Linked DNA regions of Arabidopsis thaliana. The protein of the gene in region 1 interacts with the protein of each later gene in a pairwise test. Each region holds a gene or a part of one and is shown in the gene's direction. Other genes may lie near its edges.

Region 1 (3,305 bases):
TCATTTACACAGTACCTCGGTAAGTGTTTGAGGGTTAAATATTTGTTGAATTTTTAACATCACACTAATTTAGAGTATAATCTAAATTATAAGGTATACGTATGAAATCATAGCTCAATGATGATAGAATTCGTTAATTATTCTCGTAAAAGTGAATATTTGATTTAAAATGAGTCAAAATATATTTGATTTGACGAATTCTAAAAGTGTTCCGCTTGAGTTATAGAAACATGCTCAAAATGATGGTGATGACTTTTTTTTAGTTCTTTATTTGAAAAGTCAGTTTGGAAATGAAAACAGTAAGGCTGACCAAACAATATACAGTATGTTATCCAACTCTTATCCGTTTTAAGAAAACAAAGTATGTGTAAGAGTCGGGTAATATGATATCAGGTTATTTCTAAACCATCTGTCTTGTAACCCATCATTTTACTTGGATATATTTTCTTACATACAAATAATTTATTATAATAGTTTAGACATGTCAATTGGACTAGTCCAGTCTGACAAAGTCCAGAAAATTCGAATATATTTTATTTAGTCTGGTTCGGTTAGTAAAAATTTTGAAATAAAAAAATTTGAACTTATATTTCAAGATCTGGTAATAACAGGGACAAGACTTTTCCAGGTTTTTTATGTTTTTCTTTCCAGAAAAAAACAAATTTATAATTTATAATATTTCTGAAAGATGGATATATGAACAAAACAAATCAGTTGAAATTTAAATAACCATGAAAGCCAGTTTATTTTCAAAAAAAAAGGTTTAAAATCAAAAAAAATAATCTAATTTTTTTATTTAAACTCATAACAAATAAAATATAAAATCAGAAGATTTTAATCTAGACAGTCGAGCCAAGATTTGTTTTTTAGATTTATAGTAAGGCACAATTGAAAAACTAGGTTTAGGGTTTTCAATACTATTAAAAAAAACAAAAACAAATATTCCAATTAAAGAAAAATATTAACAAAAGAAAAGTAAAAAAAAAAATTAAAATTTTTTTAGGCCGGCTTGAATCTGGTGGGATTAAGCCTCAAAAACTTTTTATCCCGAATGGGTTAGCTTAAGGGAATTTTCTGGATATATATTTTTAAGTCTGAATCTCTATTTTCAGAATTGATAGTCCGGGGAATTTGACCCTAAATGAAATATAGTTTGATAAATAAACAAATAGACAATATCTGAAGAACAAATTAACCGTCCAAAAAAAAATATGCGAACTCCTATCCAAACACCTAGTTTAAAAATAACAATATAATATTTTAAATAACAATGTTGGAATATCATTAATTTCTAAGGAAAAAAACTAAAACCTTAACTTTAAAAAAATTAAAATAGGATAAAATAGGACTATACTTGTACAGTTGTATCAGTAAATAATAATTTCTGTAAACTGCCAGAAGAAAGGTTTATTTTCCTTTTTTTAGTGGACCTATCAATTAATTATTCCAATATAACTTCTTTTTTTCAGGTCCACTAAATATATTTTCTATACTACATATTATATTACATGATAATATTTCATTCTCAAATATACCTATATAAATTTAAGATTTCTTCTATTTACCAATTAGTTTAATTATTAGTTTGTTACACCATTATTGTTTTCCATACATAACATAAATAGAAATAGAGTTTTCTGTAACGTTTCTATATAATCCAAGTGAAACAAACATATTTTCCACTTCCATTTACAAAAGAAAAAGAAAAAAAAAACAGAGAAAAATGGATTCGAAAAATGGAATTAACAACAGCCAAAAGGCAAGAAGGACTCCAAAAGACCGCCATTTGAAAATTGGTGGCCGTGATCGTCGCATTCGGATCCCGCCGAGTGTTGCTCCCCAACTATTTAGATTGACAAAAGAACTCGGCTTTAAAACCGATGGTGAAACTGTCAGTTGGCTCCTCCAGAATGCCGAGCCTGCCATTTTCGCAGCCACGGGACATGGTGTCACCACCACCTCCAATGAAGATATCCAGCCAAATAGGAATTTTCCTAGTTACACCTTTAATGGTGATAATATTAGTAATAACGTTTTCCCTTGTACGGTTGTAAATACTGGTCATCGTCAGATGGTGTTTCCGGTTTCTACAATGACAGATCATGCACCTTCAACTAATTACAGTACTATTAGTGATAATTACAATTCCACCTTTAATGGTAATGCTACCGCCAGTGATACAACATCAGCAGCAACAACAACAGCCACAACCACAGTTTGAGCTTGTGAAGGAGGAGACGGCGTCGCTGAGAAGGCCAATTTGGAGTCTTTAAAATAAATATTGGAGATTTAAGAGTGTTCAGTTCTGGACGTTTTAGTTCGTTTCTGTTTGCTTTTTCTTTCCTCTTCATGTTTTTCAGTTTGAGAGTTGAACTAGGGTTTGTTTTAGTTCGATCGGTATCCATTTGTCTTTTTTTCTTGTATGCTCATGTTTTTTTAAGATGAATAATAATACCTAAAATTAATTATAGATGTAATTTAAAACTGTTTGTCCATGTTTGAAGTTTAGTAGAGAATTTGATTTCAACAATGGATTAAATTAAACTCTTCACAACAAATTTGATTCATTTTTTCTTTTTTGGACACGAACAATTTCGTTGGTATTCTAGAATAAATAATTCTGTCATAATATTTACCGAAACATAACTTTTATGTACAGTTATTTATTTCCGTTTTCTAATTTGTCAAAATTCGTTTGTCTTTCGAACCTAAAGGTTCCAACGGTTATGAAAACATTAATTAAAAACGGATATCAAAAACTATAATATAAATAAATTAAAGAGATAATAAAAGGAACAATTGAGTAAGAATGTGGTTTTATATCTGTTAAAGAAATTTCCAGCTCACACTTAGCTGGACAATAATTATTTAAGATTTGTTTCTGTATTTAGCTTCATACATCTATTTTAATATTTCTTAATACACAGATATATATTTTAATATATATATATATATATTATTTTCAAGATTCTCAAGGAAAAAAAAAGAAAAAAAAAAGGAAGGAAAACTAAATCTAAAGAATAAGAAACTAATTTTTGTGTAAATAAAAATTACTTTAATAAACTTTTAATAGTTTTCCCTTAAATTCTTTTACTTTATAGATTGGTTAATATGTATTTAGAGAAAAATACTATTTAACCTTTATTTAGATTAAAAAAAAAAACTTGAGTAAGAAAATGGTTTAAAATTCTTAAAGAAAATTCCAGCTCACTTTAAGCTAGAAAAAGAGATTATATAGTTTATAGTATAAAAATAAATTTAATCATACCATGTTTAATAAAATTTGAAGAAAAACTTATTTTCTT
Region 2 (6,115 bases), on another chromosome or scaffold:
AACGAAGAAATATCTTACGTACATTACATTTTTTTTGGGGTCAACACGTAGATTATAAATTCAACAAATCCTTAATACGAGAGAGGTAAGTATATTATGGCCCATCAAGAAGGATAGTGGCTTATGGGCCTATGTTATAATATGAAATAAAAGCCCAATTATAAATGAATTTTTATATACTAGAGTGCAAAGTCTGGGCCCAAAGTAAACAGTCTAACGTGTCTTGTCGTTTGATTTCCTCCACTCTAATTATAAATTAATTAATTACGGGGAAAAAGATTAATTAACTTTAGTGAATCCATCATCAATCAAAGACTAATAAAATAAGCGTGAAGGACAAAAGCACTACGGGTCTCATTGTCTTGTCTCAACCCGCATTATTTGTACTCGCAAATGCTGCTAATCTGATCTACTGTTTACTTTTGCATTTTTGTAATAATTTATCTGTATTACTATTATTGTTTTTTACCAATCACTTTTTAATTAGACACATATTTTCATGTACTCATAATTTTAAATATAATGTCTGATGGTAGTTGTAGTAATTTGAAATAATTAATATCCTTTACTTATTATACAGACGATTAAACAAAATATGAGAAAGAGAAAATCAAAACTTTTTACGGGGAAGGTTAAGAAATGCCGTATTATTATTCTGGACGGTGAATATTTTTCTTTTACTTTCCTCTTTGTGCATAAGGTGTTAAAGACTTTTTTTTTTGATTAATCGTCTTTAAATCTTTGGTAAAAGGAAAGAAAAAAGGTTAAAAAGAATAGAGAGGGGTAAAAAAGAGATAACGTGAGTGGTACGGAAGAGTGATGATGAAAAAAAAAGAGTCAGAGAAGGTCATGATGATGATGAACGGACACAGGCCTCTCTTACTCTCTTACCATCAAATCCTACGGTCAGATTGAGATATTTTGTGCTTCCCATGCGTGTTCTTCAATCCCATTTCACCCCTTTTGTTATTATTATGCTCCCCTTTCCCCAATTCCCATTACCTTCCTTTTTTAATTACTTTGAATTTTTTACAGTAATTTTTTTTATGTATATTACACCCGACTATAATTTTTTTCTTTTTTTCTTTTTAACACGAAAAGAATGTAACCGACTATAAAAATTAACATACATAATTTACCTGTTTATTACCAACGAATTTACTTTTTTACTTTTTAACCAATCATCCTTATTACTATGGATTAAACGTTGTGTATGATGATCGTAACAGTGCAATTCAGACATATTTAATACTCCAGAAATATGTATGTTGTTCACATTCAAATTTTGTACTTCTAACAATAACACCACAAATTATACTTTCAAAAAATGAGATTTTTTTTTTAAACTCAATTCGGACAAACTTGTATGTATCTAATTTTTGTCATGACTATAATTTTGTTTCAATCAGTTTACTTATTTAAGTGCAAATTCAACAAAAATAAAAAACAAAAATCTAGCACGTGACGTAACCTTATGAAAAAGATTAATCTATAGTCATTATTAAAGTTACTTATACTATTTACCCATTCATCTATCTAGAAGACTACAATGAATGCCAAACCAAAAAAAAAAAGCAAAATGAAAAATTCAAGTTTGGGGGGACTAACATTTCTCAATGGGCCCCATCCAGTTGGGCCAATCTAAGTAAAAAAAATTGAAAGATAAGGAAACGTAATAATGAAAGTTAAAGAAATTAGGAAGGTGGCGGAATTTAATTAAATTTAATCCGAAAGAAAGAAAGTGATTATAAAAAAAGATTAACAAGTCTTAATTAATTTTAGATTAATAAAGTAGAGATAGAGAGAGAAAGGAAGAAAGTGGAAGAGGTTAGATGTCCCATTCACCACCCGGCAAACCGACTTGGAATGCCGCTTTCTTGTCCCCTCCTCACTCCTCTTTTTCTCTCTTTACCATTTTACCCTTCATTCCTCAATCACATTATCATCACATAGAGGTTACATTAGTCATTAAAAACAAAAGGATAGAATCGGAATTTAATATTTGCAGACAACCATCCCCTTTCGGGTGGAGCCAGAAAAGTGGCATAATTTTGTTTAAAGATCCGACTCCCGACATTTGTACATCAACGGTTCATATCTGCTGATTTAAATCCGACGGTTTAGAATTATCAGCACGATCAAATCTGAGCCGTTGGATTAGAATCCATTCGTAAATAAAAATACGCAACTTTTTCCACTTATTTTCTATTCTACCACTTTGTTTAGTTATTTTAATTTTAATCTCGGCTACGAGTTTCTGGGTAATGATAATTAAGCTTTTTTCTGCTTTAATGGAAGGACCTTGACACTTCTCTCTCTCTTTCTCTTTGCTATTCATCTTCTACAGTTTCTTAAAAATTATACTCTTCTTCTCCAAAATATCTCAGACTCTCTTATTTTTGATCGTCTTCTTCTTCTTCGTTGTGAGCTTCCATTTTTCATCCAGGATTTGTTTTTTCCGTTTGAGGTAATTATGTCTTCTCTGTTCTTCTTATACATAGTTTCAAATCCGGTAATTTTTAGCTTGTTGTTGTTTGTGTGTGTAGTTAGTAGTTATTAGATCTATTAGCTATTGAGTTTCTTTGCTGATTTCCTCACTATTTCTATGGCGAATTTTGGTTTGTTTGAGCTGTTGGCTTAAACCTTGCTAGGTTTAGTGATTTGTAGATAGAATTCTGTGGAAATTCAAATCTGAGATCAGCTCGAAAAATGTAACTCAACGGTGTAGTTTCTTCATCTGACCTTAAGTTGACTTCTATTTATTTTTAGCTTTCCATTTTTTTCTCAGATTGAGCTTTATTTTGCTCTAAATTTTGGTTGTGAGTTTTTCATAGATGCAATCTACTTTTGAAACCCTAATTGATACGGTTTCGAGTTTCTTCGAATTTTGATTGAAATTGAGTTCTTGATTTTTTCTGGTAATTTAGGGTTTTGTTTGAGGATTTGTTTATGGTTATGTGAATTTAATGTGGAGGACTTTGTGCTGTGTAAATCATCAGGTAAAGCAGCTTTGCAGTTAAAGAAACCTTGAGTATCCAATGTCCCCGGAAGAGGAGCTACAGAGCAATGTATCGGTGGCTAGTTCTTCACCTACTAGCAATTGCATCTCCAGGAACACTCTAGGAGGACTTAAAGAGCATAACTACTTGGGTCTCTCTGATTGTTCTTCTGTTGGAAGCTCTACTCTCTCTCCCCTTGCTGAAGATGACAAAGCTACTATCAGCCTCAAGGCTACGGAGCTGACACTTGGTCTTCCTGGATCACAATCTCCTGCGAGAGACACAGAGCTTAACCTTTTGAGCCCAGCAAAGCTAGATGAGAAGCCATTCTTTCCTTTGCTTCCTTCTAAAGATGAGATATGCTCCTCCTCGCAAAAGAACAATGCATCGGGAAACAAAAGAGGCTTTTCTGACACAATGGATCAGTTTGCTGAAGCTAAAAGTTCAGTGTATACTGAGAAAAACTGGATGTTCCCTGAAGCAGCAGCCACCCAGTCTGTAACAAAGAAAGATGTGCCACAAAACATACCCAAAGGACAGTCTAGCACTACAAACAATAGCTCTAGTCCACCTGCAGCCAAGTATGAATAGAAGATAGGAGCATTCGTTCGATTTTGATATGGATTACTTTCAACAGCTAGCTAACTGGTGTTTTTTCGGATTCTGGAATTTTCAGGGCACAAATTGTCGGTTGGCCTCCAGTGAGATCCTACAGGAAGAACACATTGGCCACTACTTGTAAGAACAGTGACGAAGTTGATGGGAGGCCAGGTTCTGGGGCTCTCTTCGTGAAGGTCAGTATGGATGGTGCTCCTTATCTGAGGAAAGTTGACCTGAGGAGCTACACTAACTACGGGGAGCTTTCTTCAGCCTTGGAGAAAATGTTCACCACTTTCACTCTTGGTGAGATGTTTCAGTGATTGCTAGTGATGTGTTTGAAAACCTCTTTCTATTTAAGGATCAATGAATGAGTGCAGTCAAAGTAGTTAACCTGCACTGTTTATTTGATGTTTAGGTCAATGTGGATCTAATGGAGCTGCTGGGAAGGATATGCTTAGTGAGACCAAGCTCAAGGATCTTTTGAATGGAAAAGACTATGTGCTCACTTATGAGGATAAGGATGGTGACTGGATGCTTGTTGGAGATGTTCCGTGGGAGTAAGTTTCCTCTCTTATATTCAAAACTTGTTAGAAGCTTTCTCTACTCTCTGCCAGATATCTTAGAATCAAATCTAACATGCCATAGAAGATTATATCATGGTGATTGGTATAAGCGCTCATGAGTGATTTCTGATCCGATGTATATTACAGGATGTTTATTGATGTCTGCAAGAAGCTGAAGATAATGAAAGGGTGTGATGCTATTGGGTTAGGTAAAGTCTATTCTTCTCTCTGCTCCTAAGCTACAACGTAAACTACTATCTCTACTAAAACCGATTACAAGTAGTGTGTATGATGAGATTAGTGGTTTGTTGGTGTGAGTTACTTGTAGCTGATTTAGAAATTTCAATTCATGTTTGATCACTCGTCTTCTTTTGGGAGTAAATACAACAAATTAACATGTAAATAAAATCGAAATTAAACTGATTTCAATTCATGTTTGATCACTCGTCTTCTCTGATTCAAAATGTCTTAATGATTCAATGTGGTGAACTGGTGATATTGCAGCTGCAGCTCCGAGAGCAATGGAGAAATCGAAGATGAGAGCTTAAAAGATGGAACATGACAAAGCTTTCTAACTATACAAAATATGTGCGATCTTTTGGTGGTGTTTTTAAATTTCAAAACATCAATATCTTTAGTTTCTGAATTTTTAAAATGAAGTAAGTAAGACTACGAATGTAAGGAAATGAAGAAGAATTAAAAATGATCTATTTTTGTTGTTTGTTTGTTGCTTTAGTCAGTAAACTGGTCGTTGTTTTATGTTTTGTGTTTGATTTGGATGTGTGGTTGACTTCTACCTTTGAGATATTATTTGATGTAACGTTTTTGTTATTCTCTTCTTTGCTTCTTCTCGAGAAGAGAAGATAGACAATCCGGTTTTACGATTTGGCTTTCTATCATTGAACATGGAGGTTCTTCTTCTGCATTTGCAAAACAATCTTAAATATTAATCAGTACTTAAATCTTTGAGGTGGATTGTTAAATTCTAACACATTTGAATGCGGAAGTGGTAAACCTACGTTTTTCTCAATGTCTATGACTCTATTCTAAATGGAATATCAAGATTAATCAGAAAGAAAAAAAAATCTTTTTATAACTGTCATAACTAAACTGTGCTACCAAATCATTGCCACCAACGGATCTTTAAACCAACTTGAATAATTCACCTGAAGAACCAAAAGCTACAAGACAAATCAAAGATAAATAAAAGTAATTTCGCCGGGAAAAGGTTTTGATATCATTATTTCACTTTTTAACCTTCCATGAAACTTTGTTTACCTTAGCAAGCATGGGCTGCGTACAAACTCATGATAACTATATAGTACAATCCCCAAACGAAGATATCATAAATTTCAACGAATCAGTTTTAGATTTAGTGAATAACTATAGTTTAATAGTATCGAATAATATCGTTTGAGAGAAAAATAGTCAAAGATACATGAACATAAATTCCCATATACTAATTTCCCATTTCTCATTCAAGGAACGTTTATTATTTTTCTGTTCCTGAAGGTGGAAGCATAGTGCGCCTCTTTGGGTTTGGCAATGGTGGTTTGCTTATTTGTTTTATGAAAATTATTTTTGTGATATCATTTATTGTTCATTTTTAATAATTCCGTTAGCGTTGACAAAACAATATGATTAAACCCCACCTAAAATGAAATGTTATATTCAACTGTCCAATTTTTCAAAGAGGCGTTAATTAATCAATTCCAAGGCATATATTCGATCAAGATAATTAAAGACTCATATAGTACTCTCATAGTTTAAGAGAACCTACGGGTCGAATTTAAATCACTCTTGTTACTTTAAAACTTTAATCCAAATAATGTAGTATATATCTGTGATTCTTGTAGCTAGCTTCACGTGAACTTAATAGTATACACATAAACAACAATCATTGGTCGTGAATCTCATTTAATTCGTTTCGCTTTGATGCACTTATTCGAATGG
Region 3 (5,768 bases), on another chromosome or scaffold:
CACCGAGTCCGACGGCTTTCTTAACGACGCCTTGAAGACCGACGAGAACAGATTTGGTACGGTTGTTTCCAGTAACGACAACTTTGGTATGACGTGGCAACACTGACAATTCTTCTTCGCTACTGCAATCGCCGAAGCAACTCTGTAGCTGAGAGAATCCTCCTCCTCCTCCATTGAGGATGCTTGACTTGTTCACCGGAGCTTCCAGCATTTTGTGTTTTCTCTCTCTCTCGTTTTTTCCCTCTCTATTATCAGAAAGTACCACAAGCTTTTTTACGATCTCGGAAATGGAAGTTGGTGCATTTTGTGAAGGATTGAGAAATGGAGTAAGAGAGAAATCGAGCTGAGAAATTAGGGTTTGTTTTTGGTCTGATGAAGAAAGACAGAGTAAGAGTGAGAGAAGAAAGAGGAAAAAGCAGAGTGTATTATGATGAGTAAGAGAGAGAAAGATAGAGATACAGAGGAGGGAAGGGAAGGGACGATAGGCGATAGCGACCGCCTTCCTATCGTGACCAATAAGGTATCAACACGTGTGTTTTGTACTTGTATCATTTGCACTGTGGAAATTGAGCGGTTTTTTCATGGATGGGTACCAAAACCTTTTTTTGTTTTTTACCGAGAGCTTTTTTACTTTTTACTCTCTAATAAAGATGAATTCATTTGTTGGAAAACTTGTATTACTTTTTACTCTTTATTCACTGTATTACTTGTCTTGTCTTGGTTGTGAAGATTTAGATTTTGTAAAAACGAAATTGAAACAAAAAAGAAAGGAGTGGATACGTTTGGTTAATTTGTATGAAACATTTTGGGTACTAATTTGTATTGGAATCTGAGATTGATGCTTTTAGAGGGTTTTAAAATGATCAAAAAAGGAAAACGAGGGCCACACTTCGTAAATTTTGTGTAATGTCTACACGCGATCGACGTGAATATGAATGGTTGACTGGGTTTTTTCAAAATAAAAAAAAAGTCAGGAGTTATGGGGCCCATGCATGCGTAAGTTACGATTATACCCCTATTGTTTATTTGTTTTCGTTCCTCTCCAATGTAATTTGAATTTGAAATCACGCCTCTATTAAATATGTCATCGTATAATGTCCATATTGAACATTTAACTAAACTAAAACAATGTTCATGGAGTGATTCTTAAGCCAACATTTTTTCTTGTTCAAGACATAGCATTTTGTAAGTTTGATGGTTTAAAGTAATGTACTTATTGTCCAAAACGAGTTAGCTAGGTAACATGGAGTTAATCGGAAAAACAGAACATATTTCCAAAAAAAACATACTTAACACATAATCTACTTATTATCACAAGTAGGTTACTAGTGCCAAACCAAAGAAGAAAACCCCTAAATTCCTTTTAATGCTAGAAACGAAAGCTGGTATTAAGATTTAACTGATGATTTAAAACGTATCACCAATAATTAACACATAATCGCTCGATTAGCAACAAAGTCGTTGTAGTATAGTGGTAAGTATTCCCGCCTGTCACGCGGGTGACCCGGGTTCGATCCCCGGCAACGGCGATTACTTTAGTTTTGCCTAATTCATCGAACCCTCTGATTCATTCCAAATGTTTCCCAACTCGCGTTGATGGTTCGGGTTCCTCTGCTTTTAAGACATTAGTTACATGCTCCTGCACTTTCTACAAAATAAACGTCATAATCCAAAAATATTACATGATCATACATCATATATGCCGCCGAACCTTGTTATGGGACAAACTCGTAAACCCCTTTTTCCTTTTATGTTCAATGAACTATACAAGTTTTGGTTATGAATACATAAATAATGATGGACCCAGCAATTAATCCAAAATTTGGATATTAGATACTAAAGCTTAAAATCAACATGTAACCAAACTAAATACTTTATAGAACATAGTAAATGGTATTCACCAATCTTTATATCATTTGTAAGGTACGAAGAAGGTAAAAAAAAGAGAGAGCCAGTGTACATACAACTAATCAGGACAAAAGTAGTCAAAATTGTTTCTAAAGTGAGATTTGTATGCAAGAAAAAAGTGATAATTTTTAATTGAATATATCATTATGATGTTAATCACACGGCTTCACTGTATAAAATAAAATTTTAAAAACCAATCAAATGGTGTGTTTTTCGGTCACACAAGTAAGGGACCCACACTGAAGAAACGGTCCCACTGTGTCTCCTCCTTTCTTTTCTCTGTATTATTTGGTCATTACTCATTTTACATACTCACAGAAAAAAAAAAAGATTAGAACATAAACACACGTTACTAAGCGTAGTTATCCTCTGCACCTTAACATACACCTCTTATATTCACCTCACGTAATCTCACCCTTCCAAAACCATGTATTTACACGTGGACGATCGATACACAAGAACAATGATTCTTAATATGAACTCAATGTACTTGAACACACACACGACCCAATTTTTACATTAGATGAAAAAAATATTATTATTTGTTGGAGAAGAAAGAGAGATTCTTCTTCTTCGATTCCAGCGAAGGAAAAGCGTATTCCTCGTGAGCACTAACTTCTCACTCCTCTCTTCTTCTTCTTCATCAGTCTACGTTCACACAATCTTTCACCCACCTATTCAAAGCTCTCTCCGGAAGTTTCGAGGGGTTGGTTGTTGGTTTTCCCGATGACTTCGGATGGAGCTACGTCGACATCAGCAGCTGCAGCTGCGGCGGCGGCAGCAGCGGCGAGGAGGAAGCCGTCGTGGAGAGAAAGGGAGAATAATCGGAGGAGAGAAAGACGGAGAAGAGCTGTAGCTGCGAAGATATACACTGGGCTTAGAGCTCAAGGTGATTATAATTTGCCTAAACATTGTGATAATAATGAAGTCCTTAAAGCTCTTTGTGTTGAAGCTGGTTGGGTTGTTGAAGAAGATGGTACTACTTATCGCAAGGTGAAGACTTTCTCCATTTTTTCCAGATCTGAGCTTGTTTTATTGATGTTTTTGATGTTTGAATCTGAATTCGTTGATTTCAATTGTGGTTAAATGGGTTTGAATCTGAGAATTTGAGGGTTTTCTCAAAGTGAATTTGAATCATCAGAAACTATGGATGGATCTGATTTCTCAAAGTGAATTTATGGGTTTTCTTTCTAATTTTAGAGTTATTATTGGTATGCTAAAGTCTTAATCTTTTATGTATGATACTTGGTCCAAAGTCATTGCATTGTGTTTCTTTTGCTTACCTGTGATTGATTGATGTTTGATTGGTTATTGTTTTGCTTTTGTTGGAGTATCAGGGATGCAAGCCTTTACCTGGTGAGATAGCTGGGACTTCATCTCGAGTAACTCCATATTCATCACAGAACCAGAGCCCTCTTTCATCAGCCTTTCAAAGTCCCATCCCATCTTACCAAGTTAGCCCGTCTTCTTCATCATTCCCGAGTCCTTCTCGCGGTGAACCAAATAACAACATGTCCTCTACATTCTTCCCTTTCCTCAGAAATGGTGGCATTCCTTCTTCTCTTCCTTCCCTCAGAATCTCAAACAGTTGTCCAGTTACCCCACCGGTCTCATCGCCGACTTCTAAGAACCCGAAACCGTTGCCTAACTGGGAATCTATCGCTAAGCAATCCATGGCCATTGCTAAACAATCAATGGCGTCTTTTAATTATCCTTTCTATGCGGTTTCTGCACCTGCTAGTCCGACACATCGCCACCAGTTTCATACCCCGGCTACTATACCTGAATGTGATGAGTCTGACTCTTCCACTGTTGATTCTGGTCATTGGATAAGCTTTCAGAAGTTTGCACAACAACAGCCATTCTCTGCCTCTATGGTGCCAACCTCTCCTACCTTCAATCTTGTGAAACCTGCGCCTCAGCAGATGTCTCCAAATACTGCTGCCTTCCAAGAGATTGGTCAAAGCTCTGAGTTTAAATTTGAGAATAGCCAAGTTAAACCCTGGGAAGGAGAGAGGATACATGATGTGGGTATGGAGGATCTTGAGCTTACACTTGGAAATGGGAAGGCTCGTGGTTGACATAAACAACTAGGCAAACCCAAATGGCATGTCATTGGAATATGAGAAACTAATCCTCTTGAGTATTTTCTTCTTCGTCCAGGTATTTGGATCTTTATGGAATCTCATATGTTCTTCACTTATTATCCAAATATGCTGCCCAAAGCCTTCTCCATGGAAGCATTGGAGTGTTAGAGTGGTTATTCAATTCATGAATTTGGTTTCAAAAGCATTATTTGTAGATAAAAAAATCTTAAGATGTATGATTCTGTTTCCTTACATATGTTACATTAATTAGTGGCTTGAAACTGTCTTGTGTCTTGTCAAATTGCTTAGTCATATATCATTTCTTGAGCCGATTCTGTCTCTTAGCATCAAGATCCAAAATTTGCAAAAACATTTGCTTTTACAAAATGTTAAATTCTTTATTTCCCTGCAATCAATCTTTTGGTCAAACACTAACACATCATCAAATATCTAGTTAGACAAAGCTAGCTAGGATAGTAGCATAATCAATGAACACAGCTAGCTACAAATGGTACATTCCATAACGAATACAAACACTGGTCACTCATCTTCTTAATAGTCCAATCCCTGTTTCTGATCAAACAAGTAATGGAGAATGCAGATCCAGTTTGGTTTCAGTCTCATGGCTTTTTGTTTCTCTCTCAGTCTCAACATTACATTCTTGGTATCTGAAACAAGCTGTGAGATGATCATTAACAATGCCAGAGGCCTGCAAGAAGGAATACATAACAGTAGGACCAACGCAGCGAAACCCTCTCTGCATCATATCTTTGCTAATGTACTCTGCCTTTGGGGACTTAACCGGTACTTGACGACCATATCGATAGCCATTTCTTAATGGCTTGTGGTTCACAAATCTCCAACAATAATTACTGAACGATCCAAATTCCTGCTTGACCTGTTTTCAGATTACAACCAAAGCTATTTCAGTAAACACATAGTATCTACAATTTCATAGCAAAACACACAGTGCCTACCTTGAGAACAGATTTCGCGTTCTCTACAATTGCTCGCAGTTTCTGTTCGGATAGAATTAGACACCCATTAACTCTAAGAGACATCAACCTCTTCTCTGTGAATTGTGCTATAGCTGAAGGATCAAACTCTTCAAAGAGCTTCCTACAAAAAAGAAACCAAAACTTCTGATATCACACCAAACCAAAACACAAAATAGCAAATTCACCGTCCTAAGTTTACCTAAAGTCGTCTCTTCTGCGTAGGATTGAAGGCCAGCTAAACTCAGCCAAAGCTTGTGAGAAGACAAGTAGCTCGAAGAGTTTCTTGTCATCACGAACTGGAACACCCCATTCCTCGTCGTGGAACAAAACATAGATCGGGTCTGTTTGATCAATCACCATTATTATTATTAACTGAAAAACTTACATATCCAATGTCATCAATCATCTTCTACATTTTTTTTTGTCCTTATTTATCAACTACAATACCTAGTTTTTGCTAGGTGCAATTAATGTGTTGTTGACATCTATGAAAACTGATTGTAACCTTTATTAACTTTAACGTATTATCAAAACAAAATTACATTTCGAAAACCATAAAAAGCCATTCACATGGCATCAATTTATAAAGTCGATTGAGATATTTTATTGGGGCCAAAAACGAAGAAATTTGGTAAGTATCTTTTAATTCTTTGCAGATTCATTAAATGTTGTGACAAGGACAACAAGTCTCTACATAGTGTAAAACATTTTATTCCTAACAATAAAACCTAAAAACTAATATTTTGTTTTATTCTTTAAAAATATACTCCCTCGT
Region 4 (4,512 bases), on another chromosome or scaffold:
ATCCTAACCATGGAAGACCTCCACTTGATTGCCCTCGGGGGCTACTCTTCCATTCAAATTATATTACATATTTTAACACTTTTTGCTTCCATTAAATTACTTTCTTTAATATTAGCAGTTTACCTTAGAGATGAAAGTAACCAAACTTTATGTAAGGAATACAAATACAACTTTAGATAATATAAAAAAAAATTATTAAAGGATAAAAAAATATTAAAAAAATATCATGCATGCAAATTCTAAATCAAAATTGATTGCAAGAAAAAAAAAATACATATATAGGCACTCCATTCATTTAATCACCAATTACTTTTTGAATAGAAATTCTATGAGTTTTAAATTTTATATACGATATCAACGAAGAAATAATTCGACTTCTTCCAATATCATAAAAGTAACATAAGCAAGTTCAAAATTTAATGCTTCATTAAACCAAAATAAAATAAAAAATGCTTCATGAATATATATATATATATATATATATATTTGAAATTATTTGGTAGGGGAAGTAATGTTTTAAAACTTGTATATTATAACAATGAATACACATGTAATAATGTAAACATACATCCAATCAACAAATGAAAGAAACAATCCGATAATTTCAGTAATGTTAAAGCAAAGGGAGGAAACAAAAGGCTATGATTAGTCCAACAAGAGGGGCTACAGAAAAAGAAAGCCACGAGACATGCAAATGCAATCACGCATCTTAAAAGCAAGCCCAAGTTTTGACTGACAAGCAACCACGACGCAGTAAAGTGGAGTTCTCAAAATTAGCGCATATATAAAGTACTTGAACTATGTGTGTATCTTTCCAATAAAATGCAATTCTATAATGACTGCCAAAATCAGTACTTCATATTATTTTTGAGGAAATATCGTATATGTGTATCTTTTTCTAACAAAAGTTTTTTTATTCAATATAGAAAAAAATGAGTATATTTACAATTTACATATCATAAGATTAAAGTTGCAAAGAAATAAAGAGAAGATGCAAATGAAAATAATGGAAGAAAAGAGGGGACAGAGAGGAGGCGGAGGCAGTAAGAAAATAAGAAAGTGAGGAAATTGTAATTTGTAGTGTTGTTAGGGAACATCTCTCCTTTATCCTTTTTCTCTTGATTTTTTTTTTGTTTCTTCAATATTTCTCTAAAACTCAATTGGTTCCAACTAATTAGTACATTTTTTCCAAACTGAAATATCGAAACCTGAATTAAGCGAGGGAACCAAGCCGGTTTCAACTCTAGTGCGTATATGTCTCTAATTGCTTACATGGTTCAATCCAAACCAAGCTACACTATGCTTGCACGTTGTGTTATTTTGTGAAGGATGAAATTATAATAACGAAGTTTGATGAATTGAAATGAAATTAGTTTCGTCACGAAGCACACATCCATTAAAATTTGATTCTTATATTATATTTTCAATGAAATTATATAATTTTACCATAAGGCACGCATCCATTGTACAATGTACATGTTGTGGTTGAGGGAGTCCACGTGGAAACAAAAATGCCACGTGGGTAATGACAAGAAATATAGTCGTTGGTCGTTGTGTCGTGAGTGTGTGTGTTTCCTTTTTCTCGTGCTTGCAAATATGAGAAATGTGACGTCTCCTTAAGTTCCATAGACAAAGGAACTCTCATTAGGTCCTCTCTTTAAGGTGAACCATTCATTACTCATGCCCCCTCTCTTCCTTCGCTTTTTTTTTTCTTTTCAATTTTCAAATTTTCTCTATTTATTTAGTTATTATTACGTCTAACAACTTCTCTTTCGCAAATATATTACGTATGATTTACATCATTATATAGGCACTTTTTACCGGTTTGGAATAGTCCGTTTTAGACCGATTATGGCAGCGCTGATACAACTTGTTTAGTAGTTGACTAATTTTTTTTTATGTCTAAGCTTCGAATAAACGTAATTGTAAAGAAACAAAAATGAGATTTATCTTCTTTTTACATGAAATAAAATCGGTCTAAGACTTACTTATTGGGGGTTTTGATTATTCAAATCATCTGGTGGAACTAAATCGCATTGTTTTATGGTTAATAATGACTTGGACTTGAATCATCGTAGGCTCAAACATTTGTCATGCTTGCATACATATGATGGGTCCACAACTCCACATCGTAACTTTCGTCATAACTTTTGTTAAACAGAAGTAAAGAACTATACCTAATTAACTTAAGAAAGAAGTGTTAATCCGATTACTAAGCAAGCATTTACCCAAACACTTTCCGAAAATAATTTGTTTGATTAAAGTGTTAATTGTATCGAGGTCATATGAAAACACATTAATTTTGGAAATGTGGGAAGTAATGTAGTTCCACAAACGCCTCAATGCGCGTCACGATAACCTTTCATGCATTGAACACGATTAAGAAGATGTAATTTCTCAATATTAACTTTAATACTACTTCATATCATCAAAACAGCTAAATGTATATATTTATTTTTTGGGGTTAGATATCAAACATTAACTAGCGAGAAACCGAACCCACAAAATCATAACCAACACTTTGATCGAATCATCGTTTGACACGTGTTTTGGTCTGCTACACTAACAACATTTTTAGCGGACGCTGTCTCATCATTCCACCGTCGCTTTTTATTTGTGTGAACTTTGAACAAAAATACGAATTAAGACCATATCAAATTTAAAATAAAATAAAAACAAGTCCTAGTTTTATCTTCTATATAAACACACACGTACAAACCAAGCATGGCGGCTCATTACTCATTTGTCTTAACCTAAAATTATTATAAAAAGGATAGAGAGAGAGAGAGAGAGCTAGAGATATGGGAAGAGGGAGAAGTTCATCGTCTTCTTCAATAGAGAGTAGCAGCAAGAGCAACCCATTCGGTGCTTCGTCAAGTACTCGAAACCTAAGCACGGACCTGAGACTCGGACTCAGCTTCGGGACATCCTCAGGGACTCAATATTTCAACGGTGGCTATGGGTACTCCGTTGCAGCTCCGGCGGTAGAGGATGCGGAATATGTGGCGGCTGTGGAGGAGGAAGAAGAGAATGAGTGTAACAGTGTAGGGAGCTTTTACGTGAAAGTGAACATGGAAGGAGTTCCAATTGGAAGAAAGATCGATCTAATGTCTCTTAATGGCTACCGCGACTTGATCAGAACCCTTGATTTCATGTTCAACGCATCCATTCTCTGTAAGTTTCTATGTATACATAATGTCATATCAGAATGATTTATATGTCTTAGAGGTAGCAAATTTCTAACGATATTTTTTTCTTTCTTATAAGTCCGTTTTGATTTTTTTTTTTTTTTTACGGAATGAAAAAATACTTCCGCTCATTACTATTCTTTTGTTTGAAGGTTAATATCGCCGTAATAATCGCCCATCACTATTTCATAGGTTGTTTGTTTGTTTGTCAAAAAAAAAATCTGGATAACGTTATATGTCAGAGTTATTATTCCGTAGGTAGAGTTTATATATTGCGCAGTGTGTAAGTACTGTGTAATGGGTAAATTGTAAAAATGATGAAAACTGATGGGAATTGAAAAAATGGAAATATATAGGGGCTGAAGAAGAAGACATGTGCAATGAGAAGAGTCACGTGCTAACGTACGCAGATAAGGAAGGTGACTGGATGATGGTTGGAGATGTTCCTTGGGAGTAAGCACTCTTTTCATCCTTTTTTGTATAATTAGATTGTTAATTATGCAGAAAATTAACTATATGATCATCCTTATATATATTTTTAATTTGTGGGTTGATTTTTTGCAGGATGTTCTTGTCTACTGTGAGAAGACTGAAGATTTCAAGAGCTAATTACCACTACTGATATATAAGTCTACGTACTTGTTGTGTTTAAATCGAAGTAATGCCAAGAAAAAAGTTTTTGCCTGATGTAAATCAATGGTCGGATATTTATAATATTATTTTCATTTTTCTTTTGTGATAGATAGTACATAAATCTTGAACTCACTCTGATTATTCTCGGTAGTACACAAAAAAATAGTAAAAAAAGGAAAAAACAATTATCCGATCGACAATCATGTTTCAGTGCATTAAACCAGTCAGACCATTGGTCATTGGATATTTGAATTTATATAATTAGTTGAATGCTTTTATAAATAAAATTATAGGATGTACTTTCTTTTGTTTGTCAAATAGGATGTAGTCCAGTTTCAGAAAATACTAGTAGTCAAGAAAACCAAGCGACAAATTAATGTCGAGAGACAACTTCTAAATTTTCGAAGAATTTTTGGATTTGATTATCGATTTGACCACAATGTACATTTGATATATACAAGGAAGGAGGCAGGGGAAACAACAAATTCCCACCTGATATTTCCTACTTTGTGTTTTGGAAATAAATGGGCCTTCTCCTTTGATTAAGCCCAAGTTCGATCCCATCTATAAATAATGCAACTTAAAACTCACAAAAGTATTCGGCTTACGCAAAATATAGGGTTTCTGTTTATTCCAATCATAGCTTCCGGATCAAGCAAAACAGAGACCGAGACGGAGCAAATCGCTTCTA

The links.
Region 2: the proteins of TCP16 (region 1) and IAA9 interact in binary tests that used the Arabidopsis thaliana proteins (3 or more experiments, as listed by UniProt).
Region 3: the proteins of TCP16 (region 1) and BZR1 interact in binary tests that used the Arabidopsis thaliana proteins (3 or more experiments, as listed by UniProt).
Region 4: the proteins of TCP16 (region 1) and IAA20 interact in binary tests that used the Arabidopsis thaliana proteins (3 or more experiments, as listed by UniProt).

Annotation. Positions count from the first base shown.
Region 1 is NC_003074.8:16,529,456-16,532,760, forward strand, and holds TCP16 (TCP domain protein 16), read left to right. Parts: upstream 1-1,723; coding exon 1,724-2,221; downstream 2,222-3,305. UniProt on the Arabidopsis thaliana protein: Required during early processes in pollen development.
Region 2 is NC_003076.8:26,251,425-26,257,539, forward strand, and holds IAA9 (indole-3-acetic acid inducible 9), read left to right. Parts: upstream 1-1,983; 5' UTR 1,984-2,467; intron 2,468-2,522; exon of another isoform or gene 2,523-2,711; intron 2,712-2,999; 5' UTR 3,000-3,038; coding exon 3,039-3,580; intron 3,581-3,675; coding exon 3,676-3,902; intron 3,903-4,014; coding exon 4,015-4,156; intron 4,157-4,309; coding exon 4,310-4,371; intron 4,372-4,666; coding exon 4,667-4,710; 3' UTR 4,711-5,120; downstream 5,121-6,115. UniProt on the Arabidopsis thaliana protein: Aux/IAA proteins are short-lived transcriptional factors that function as repressors of early auxin response genes at low auxin concentrations.
Region 3 is NC_003070.9:28,183,075-28,188,842, forward strand, and holds BZR1 (Brassinosteroid signaling positive regulator (BZR1) family protein), read left to right. Parts: upstream 1-2,429; 5' UTR 2,430-2,634; coding exon 2,635-2,901; intron 2,902-3,245; coding exon 3,246-3,989; 3' UTR 3,990-4,071; exon of another isoform or gene 4,072-4,336; intron 4,337-4,372; exon of another isoform or gene 4,373-4,572; coding exon of another isoform or gene 4,573-4,893; 3' UTR 4,894-4,972; downstream 4,973-5,768. Other genes in the region: AT1G75060 (histone deacetylase complex subunit), read right to left, coding at 1-211; AT1G75090 (DNA glycosylase superfamily protein), read right to left, coding at 4,573-4,893, 4,973-5,114, 5,193-5,334.
Region 4 is NC_003071.7:19,305,060-19,309,571, forward strand, and holds IAA20 (indole-3-acetic acid inducible 20), read left to right. Parts: upstream 1-2,654; 5' UTR 2,655-2,801; coding exon 2,802-3,174; intron 3,175-3,544; coding exon 3,545-3,641; coding exon of another isoform or gene 3,642-3,645; exon of another isoform or gene 3,646-3,752; coding exon 3,753-3,810; 3' UTR 3,811-4,012; downstream 4,013-4,512. Other genes in the region: AT2G46995 (uncharacterized protein), read right to left, coding at 4,409-4,512.